2 linked regions of the Neurospora crassa OR74A genome follow. The main gene of each other region encodes a partner of the protein of the gene in region 2 in a complex. Links are inferred from orthologs where the notes say so. Each region holds a gene or a part of one and is shown on either strand. Other genes may lie near its edges.

The links. The genes of interacting proteins can lie anywhere in the genome.
Region 1: NCU03836 (region 2) and prk-11 share a complex: the UniProt entries of both Saccharomyces cerevisiae proteins name them as parts of the EKC/KEOPS complex. The link is inferred for Neurospora crassa OR74A from reciprocal best matches to the Saccharomyces cerevisiae genes KAE1 and BUD32.

Annotation. Positions count from the first base shown.
Region 1 is NC_026505.1:1,568,733-1,572,482, forward strand, and holds prk-11 (serine/threonine-protein kinase BUD32), read right to left. Parts: upstream 1,781-3,750; 5' UTR 1,639-1,780; coding exon 739-1,638; 3' UTR 501-738; downstream 1-500. Other genes in the region: NCU04596 (gamma-cysteine synthetase regulatory subunit), read left to right, coding at 1-386; NCU04594 (4-carboxymuconolactone decarboxylase), read left to right, coding at 2,708-3,349, 3,553-3,598, 3,652-3,695. UniProt on the Saccharomyces cerevisiae protein: Component of the EKC/KEOPS complex that is required for the formation of a threonylcarbamoyl group on adenosine at position 37 (t(6)A37) in tRNAs that read codons beginning with adenine.
Region 2 is NC_026505.1:2,566,784-2,571,957, reverse strand, and holds NCU03836 (O-sialoglycoprotein endopeptidase), read right to left. Parts: upstream 2,935-5,174; 5' UTR 2,662-2,934; intron 2,579-2,661; 5' UTR 2,408-2,578; coding exon 1,343-2,407; 3' UTR 1,062-1,342; downstream 1-1,061. Other genes in the region: NCU03837 (Snf1 kinase complex beta-subunit Gal83), read left to right, coding at 1-221, 299-872, 941-988; NCU03835 (hypothetical protein), read right to left, coding at 3,080-3,143, 3,227-3,318, 3,411-3,727, 3,943-3,994. UniProt on the Saccharomyces cerevisiae protein: Component of the EKC/KEOPS complex that is required for the formation of a threonylcarbamoyl group on adenosine at position 37 (t(6)A37) in tRNAs that read codons beginning with adenine.

The sequences.
Region 1 (3,750 bases), about 1.0 Mb from region 2:
GCCAGGGACTGGTGAAAAGGCTAGGCATATCCGAGTTTGGCACCGAGAAGCTGGCGCGGTTCATTAAGCGCGTGGCAATCCCGCCGGCGGTGGACCAAATCAACCTCAAGAACTGCTGCAACGTGCCGCCGCCGCTGGCGACGCTGGCTAAGGAACAAAATGTGGAGTTGTTGGTGCATAGCGATTGCACGGACATCTTGCCCGAGGGAACGCTGAGGGAACTCCTGGGCCCGCAGGGTGCTGGGCTTCTGGCTGACCCAGCGACGGGCAGCGGCGGCTTGACGGGAAACCTCACGCCACAATGGGTGATTAAGTACACGGCTGTGGTGAAGAATAGGGGCGTGATTGAGAATAAGGGATACTTTGCCGGTGCCGAGTTGAACTGAGGCACTCGCTCTAAAATACTTGGGGGGGTAATAGAACCGCATACAAAACCGACCTATATAGCTGCTGCATATTGTGTAGCTGGGTCCAAGGGAGTTTTTGGATGGGACGGGTGGCCAGGCAGGCAAGCAGGCATTCTGATTCTATTGATATTAATACCAATTGCGTTCGTTGTCTTCGTTGCTTATGAAAATGGCGTTTCGATTTGCATGAATGTATTGCAACTTCACTTTCCTTTCCAGCGCGCGAGCTCCGCTGTTCCAACTCATCATTATAGCAAAACTGTTCTTGTATGTGTATAAATCCATGGGTATCTTTTCTCGCCTTGTTGTCGCCAAAAAAAGGTGTTGACCATTACCCAATCATGCTCCTCTTCCTCCCACGCATCCTCACATCCTCCAACTTATGTAACACAGACGCTCCCTTCTTGAAGCTCTGCTTGTATGACTCCAGCAAGTGCTCAAACAGGTTCTCCGCCCGGGGGTGTGTGCTCGCGAACGCCCTCTCGAGGACATACAAATCCGTCGCCCGGTCTTCGTCCGACTGGCTCTGGTTCGCCAAGCCAAAGTCAATGATCACCACGTCTCCCTCCAGCAACTTGGCCTTTTCCTCTTCTTTGCTCACTCCATTCGTCTGCTCGCTACTCGTCGTCTTGTTCGTGTGTGGCCTCAACATCATATTACTAGTCGTCAAATCTCCATGCACCACACCCGTCCTATGCAGCCCCGCTATCGCGGCCCCGATCCTCTTCATCAACTCGATCAACGGTCCTTGATCTTGCTCCGCGGCTGACCTTTCCTCCTCCTCATTCTTCGGCCTCTGCCCCAACCACTCGTTGATCTTCACTCGCACCGGCGCACCCTCAATCCATTCCACCGCGATCCAGCCCGCCGCCGCGTTCTGGGCGTACACGGCAGGCACGGGAACGCCCTCGCGCCGGCACCGCTCGAGGACTTTGGCCTCGAAGGCGAGGCGGGCTTTGGTCAGGCGGGCGTCGAGAACCGGGTGCCGGTAGGGCTTGGGGGGTCGGTACTTGAGTGCGCAGGGGATGTCGGGAGAGAAGAAGGTTGTTTTGTAGAGACGGCCTTCGGCGCCTTGTGTGATGAGGGTGGGAGGGGCGGCGGAGGGGTGGGTGAGGATCGGCGGGAGGGGGAATTGGTGTTCTTCGACAACCGCGGGGGCGGCGGTAGAAGTTGAGGTTGAGGTCGCCATTTTGCGCTTTTTGGTGGGGGGTGATTGAGGAGAGGGGTCCATCAATCTGGCAGACTTGTTGTTGTTGACAACGTCGTAAAGGGCTGGGTGTGCGATTGAGTGGTAGTATCTGGTGAGGTTTGTTGCGCTTCGGTTAGGTTGTGTCGTTGTGCCCTGGGCTGTGTTTGATTATCGCGAACTTTTGTTTTGGCGGCAGTGGGCTTCCTTGTCTGCCAAACATTGCGCTGGAGGGGCAGAGGGGCACCGGACATTGTTGCTGGGAAAGGAAAAGTGCCAAGCTTTCACAACTTAAGAGCTCCACACAGGGTAGGTAAGCACAGGGCAATATTGTTAACACTGTGCCGCTGAATCAACAACACATGAGCGGCCGATTGGTGAGTGATCTCGACTCTGACCAATATTTCGAGATCAACGTTGATCAACTACTCGACTTGCACAAATGTCACATCGTTACCGTCTCCTGAAACTTCACTGTTCTTCATATGTTGACAACAACAAAAAGTCACTTAGGGGAGATACTCACTCCGAAACAGGCGCCAGATTTTCTGCGCAAGGACAAACCGATCCAAGTCTTTGTCCATCTGTGAGGTTGTCTTCACCTGTCCACTATCTGGAGGATCTGCGGCTTCGGACTGCGATATTATCTCCCATTGTATTTGCCGAATCTGTTTCAGAGCATCAAATGAGACCAAATGTTCCTCAACGGCCAAGCGGCTAGACAATCATAGCGTTCACGGCCAGTCCGAATGATGAGATTTGAAGTCAAAGACATATACCTCGGTGTTCGAACATCCAACCGCATATTTTTGACGATCAGGTTGTGATATTCAGGCCGGTACCTCGCATCAGCTGGCTTAGTTGTTGACGTTGATGCTCCGGGCCCACGTCCACTTGCCGACCCCTCCTTCCGAGCGGCAGACAGGCGGGCAAGAGATTCCCCGCAACCCCCGCTGCCGACCGCCGGCCCCCAGGTACGGACCTGCGTCACCGGCTTCAACAAGCCGATGATACTACCACAGTACTCGTGCATTGCAGCTGTCAAGTCATCAAGCTTGTATTTCATTCTATCCGTATTCTTCTTTCTATTCTTCCCTTCTGCATCTTACACTCAATGTCCATCTCCCTCAAACATCTCTTCCGTAGTTCACTACCACACCGGCTATCATCCTCTTACACACGACTTACACGACTTCCGTCGTCACCACTCACCAACACCACCAGATCACTCACCACCACCCCACCCACCAAAATGCGTCTCCCCTACATCCCCAACCCCCCACCCACCTCTTCGGACGCCGAACAAGCCATCGTCGACCGCATCACCGCCCGCCGCGCCCCCCGTCCCCTCCAACCCTTGGACCTGACCCTGCTCCACTCCCCGCCCGTCGCCGACGGCTGGAACTCCTTCCTGGGCGCCATCCGCACGCAAACCCTTCTTCCCGCCGACGAGCGCGAGCTAGCCATTTCCCGCGTGGCCGTCTGCAACGGCGCCTGGTACGAGTGGCACCACCATGCGCCCCTGGCCGTTCAGGCGGGCGTCAGCGAGGGCGAGGATGGTCTGGGCGTGGTCAAGAGGCAGGAACCGCTGCTGATTGAGGAAGGGGACCAGAAGAAGGGAGGGTTGAACGAGAGGCAGTGGGCGGCGGTGTGCTTGACGGATGAGATGACGAGGAATGTCAAGGTGCGGGATGAGACGTTTGAGAGGGTTAGAGAGTTGTTTAGCGAGAGGGAGGTGGTGGAGTTGACTGCGATTGTGAGTACTGTTTTTTATGGGTTGTGTCGTCATAATGAGGGGGGAAATTCGGAAAGATGCGGACGAGTGAAGAAGGAAAGGGTGAGGGAGGTGTGGGTGAGAGTGAGATATGAGAGACCTTTAAAGGTCGAGGAGTCCGGGAAGGTGGCAAACAAAAGGCCGTGTCGTGAGCTAAGTTTTAAGGGCTAACACCGACTCACTAGATCGCTTGCTACAACTGCGTGAGCCGTTTCCTTGTTGCGCTGGATGGTAAGTCTTTTCTTGTGGCTTTTTGGGACCCCAATACTAATCATATTGTGCAGTTGGAGAGAGAAACGGCACTGGTCCGGACGATGCGGCTCACTGATAAGGGCGATATATCCTGGTGATAGTGGTGCTCCCTGAACAGTACAAATTGAACA
Region 2 (5,174 bases):
GGGGTCCCACTCGAGGATGCCGACACTTTCACCGCGCTCACCAGACGCTCTTCCAACTTGAGTAACAGCTCAACTCTGGACGAAGAAGACACGGAGGAGCTACGGGTGGACAAGACTAGACCGACTGTCCCCACCAGGCTCGAATGGCTCCGTGGCGGCGAGAAGGTTTACGTGACAGGCACCATCTTCCAATGGAACAGGAAGACACGATTACACCCGGTGTAAGTACTTTCTACATCCCGGCCACTTTCGCTCTCAATACGGATGGGGCCTTGCTGACACCGCTACTCGCCAACAGTGAGGGCCGACCGGGTGTATTCGCTGCTATTATCAATATCCTGCCGGGCACACATCACGTTCGCTTTCTGGTTGACGGGCAAATGCAGACCTCGCCAGACTTGCCGACCACGGTAGACTTTGGCAACAACCTGGTCAACTACATCGAGGTCAGCCCTGATGATGTGGGGCGCACCGCTGCCCAGGCAGCTGCTGCAAGCGCCGCCAAGGATTCCCAGCAACCTACGGAGCCCAAAACCTCCGCGTCCGAGACGGAGGAAAGCAAGGCACCTAGGGACCGACCTGTCCCTCCGGCGGAGCTGTTCGAGAACAAGATCCCGCAATATCTACTCGACTTCGACGCACCCGAGGAAAGTCCACCTTACCTGAGTGCTGTCAACGCCATCGAGAAACTCCCAACGCCGCCTGCGCTTCCTGGCTTCCTCGGCAAGCCCATCCTCAACGCGGCCACCTTGATCAAGGATGACAACAGCGTTCTGAACATGCCCAACCATACCGTTCTTAACCATCTAGCTACTAGCAGTATTAAGAATAATATTCTGGCTGTGTCGGCCACGACGAGATACAAGAACAAGGTTCGTCTCCCCGTATTTCGTAGCTGCATCTTTTTGCACGTAGTCGTTGATGCTAACGGACTGTACAGTATGTGACGACAATCATGTACAAGCCAACAACGACAGAGGGCATCTGAGTTTGGAATGCTAGTAGTCAGAGCTGGGTACAGTTGGCTGGTGGCTACCACTACTAGACGAACAGCGCAAGTCATGAGTAGAATAGCGGTGCATGATGAACCGCCCAGTATGACCTATTCTAGATATGTCTACAAGTAATGTCTATAGGACGCTGTAGCGATGACGAGGACACTTTATGGAAGCGGGCGCAAATTGTTGTCGGCAAACTGTCCATGGGCATCCTGCTCCATTAAGGGGGCACTAAGGGACAACAAGAGGCGCATATAGAGTGGCTGCCGTGGATAGAGTAAAGGTTATGGGATTTGGGGGTATCGTCGTAATGGTCATCTTCGTCTTCGTTTCCTTCCTTGTCATTAGTCCCTCCACTTGACGAAGACTTCGTCGGTTCTGAAGCGTTGTGTACATGTGCTTTCATCAAGCGGCGTCCGGAAGCCCGTCTCGTAGGCCAATAGACCAGCATGAGCAATCATGATGCCGTTGTCGATGCAGAACCGCTCGTCGGTGGCGTAGACACTTCCGCCTCGCTCCGCTGCCATCGCGCCCATCATCTCCTGTAGCCGCTCGTTGCAACCGACACCGCCAACAATAAGAACCTGGTTGCTACCGACGTGCGCCATAGCCCGCTCGGTGATCTCGACAAGCATGGCAAATACCGTTTCCTGCAAGCTGAAGCACAGATCTGCGGGTGTAAACGGTTCGCCGTCGGGGCCCGGCTCGCCCGCCTTCATCTGCGCCGCCAAGTCATCTGCCCGCCCCAGGATTCCGCTGAACGAGCAATCCATTCCCTTGACCGCATACGGCAAGTCCAACAAGACTCGCCCACCTTGCTTGGCCAGCTGCTCAATATTGTACCCGGGCGCCGGGTCGTTGCTGATCTCCAGCGTGCGCGCGAACCGGTCCAGGCAATTACCCACTGCAATATCCAGCGTCTCGCCAAAGATACGGTACCGCTGCTCCGCGTACGCAATCACCTGCGTATTACCCCCGCTCACGTACAGCACCACCGGGTTCGACGCCCCCGTTATCGCCCGCCCCATCTCGATATGCCCGACACAGTGGTTCACGCCCACCAATTCTTTACCCCACAGCAGCGCGAGTGTGCGGGCGCCCACGGCCACCGACGTTAGGGGCCCGCCCATCCCGGGCCCCTTGGTGTAGCAGATGCAGTCGATTTCCGAGATGGAGACCCCCGACAAGGCGAGCGCCTTCTTGGCTACACGCACAAAGTAGGCACGGTGGTGTCGGGCTGTGTCCTTGGGAAGGAAACCGGTGCCGGGAGGAGAGACGAAGGTGTCGCGCACGTTGGACAGGACAAGGGCTTCGCCGGTGATGGGGTCGTGCGCAATGATGCCGATGCCGAGCTTGTTGGCGGAGCCTTCGCATCCGAGAGCGATGCGGCGGCCTTTGGCGTCGGGCATTGTTGGCTGTTGGGGCTTTGTTGGATAGAGCGAGGGAGGGAGAGGGTTTCGGTTACTTGGTGAATCGGGAGCCGGTTGCTTCGTATCAGATAACTCGCAAGGATATTTCGTTGGGGATGTTTATCGAGGACCTTGATATCCTTTGGTTGTTGATAGGCGTCGCGTCGCGTACTGAATAGGATGGATGGATGGATGTTGTCAGTGCCACATCCAATGCCAGATGTCAGATGGAGAAAGTGATAATGGAGGGGCACCTTTTTAGAGTGGGGAAAATTTCGTCGCGTCTGTGAATACCTAGGCTAGGCGCGCCGTAGTGATCAAGGTGACGAAACTCGAGATCGAGATGAAAGAGGATGTACATACTTATTCCCCCAGCGGGCCGGTATCCCGTCTCCTAAAACCGGTCGACATGTTCACTACTTGTAACGATGCTTTAAAGCCATTCTCGCCCGTTGTTCTTCTCAAAACAAGGGAACGGCCTCGCCATGGGAATCAGCAATGGGATTTCGTCAGAGCCTTCCATGGAGTCGATGAGGGGTTCAATGAAATGTGGGTCCCCGCAGCCGCTTGTGCACAGTCGAGTGGGACCTTTATGTTGCTTTGGATGCGCAATGCAATGTTATGTAAGGCAGGCACGTAGCGTGGCTCGTGCGCTAGTAGTAGCAACGATTTCTATCCACATATAGCCGCAACGGCGCAAACTGTGACCATGGATGCATGAGTTGTGTAAAAGACACTAGAAGTTTGATTATTTCTAGCTTTTTCGCCATGAGCTGATCCAACAGTTCCATTGCAACAAATATGTGCAGATGAGCTTACGTGATTTGACTTGCTCTGTGGAAGTGCAAAAAGGCTCCGAGCAGTTCGGGGTCTGCCGAGCCTGGGCTTGGGGCTCTCTGCACGGGACCCCACTGCACCGAGAATCAATTCTCCCAGCCAAGCGAGAGTCCGCAGCCGTCCAACCATCTTCCATCCTCCGAGCCTGTATCACCCAACACCTCACCTCGTTGCCGCCAAACCCAAACCTCCCAACCGCACGGCCAGACCTGCCTCTTTCAACAGCCCAGCCGACTTCTTCCTTGTCTTCACCATCCTTTGCCTGCCATTTCTTCGGCAGAACATGGCCGGGCTGCTTCTTGTTCGGTTCTTGCAAGCTTTCGAGCTCACGGGGCCGTCTGGGCCGGATTGGAGGCCGTGAATTCAGCACCGCCCCAAGTCTATGGGGATGGAGATACCCATATTCCCTCTTGAGGTGTGTTTTCCTCGTTCGTCTGACTTCAGAATGCTGCTTTGGCCATCTTTTTGTCTCGCACAACCCGTCTGATGTGGGCTTGATATGTCCGGTACCGTTGTGGGTGAACCTAGGCTGACCAGAACTCTGCACCACAGGACCACCCACCACCCATGGAAAGCTGTTCACTCGACACCTCCATTCTGTCTTCCACCTTCTTTGGACATCGCTTCTTCTTCCGCCTTTCCAAGTCTTTGGGAAATGCTGTTGTGGGCTGCTGGCTTCATGGTTCAAAATCACGAACCTCGCCACCAAGTCAGCAAAGCTGGCCTCCAGTCAGCCAGCCAGCCAACCATTGCTGCTCGGTGATCCCACTCTAGAGCGCCCTCGAACTCTCCTGCTCGAGTTTTCACCAACGTCAAAATCGCGGATTACCAGATCGGAATGTCCCTTTTTGCAAGGCATCTTCGGTTCCGGAAAACCGGCGATCAGCAGTTCTGCCAGAAGCCAGGGTCCTGCACCAAAAGGAGCAGCGGTCTCGACTCCGAAGCCTGGCAACGGAAGACTCGACGTCCAAGCCAGCATCGATATCGTAACGACCGGTCAATTTCTCTCTGCTCGAGTTTTCTCTTTCTCAGCTTTTTTTCCACCTACGTACCTAGCGAGACCTCTTTCTTTGAGGCGTCCCCACTCTTTTATCACCAAGCACGCTGCACGGTCGCTCCGAAAGCCAAAGGGGCGACCCCCGTCTCTACGCTAAGCAGCGACCCGGTCTACCAGGGGCGCGAGGGAACACCTTTTTCTCTTTCTCGACACTTTTGTCGTCCTCCCAACTTCCTGTCTTCTTGTGAAGCGTCCTGTGTCGGACCGCAGCTCGATTGCTGGTTTCCTATTGGCCCACCCGGTTCGCAAATTCTCGCACACCTCCGACCAATTCGCACATCGGCCCAGGGCAGCACCGTGTGTTACCTAAGCCCAAATGTGGCACATGCATACGCTCGCAGCACTTGTCTCGGGGCTGCCGATGACCAAACGCTCGGAACATCTCTGAGATCATTCCTGCTTTCCCCTGGGCAACAACCTCGCGGACGCACCCGGTCTATAAGGCTTCGTTCGCCCTCCAGGCTTTCCAGAAGCGAAGATGCCTTGACAGACATCGAGACCAGCCTCCACGCTTGATGGCCATAGCCACTTTCGTGGTTCAGTCACACTGCACAATACAACACCGCGTGAAGCAACTGATGGGAGCCAGAAGTGGTATTTTACTGCTTTGGTATCTCATTACTGTTGTCGCTGCACAGCTTCTCGCGTGTCTCAGCTATCCGCCGCCATCTACACGATATCGGTACGACTACTTGTTTACATATATACATGAGCCGTTCCCCACTTCGCCAAACCTACGCAAAAGCCGCAACCCAAACGCCTCGCCCCGGCCAGATCCTTCTCTTTAGCCCTGGCCCCATATCGCTAAATGCATCAATCGAGAGTTGAGGGGTATACACAGCAGCGGTCTTCCGAAGTTTATTCGGCTGCTCG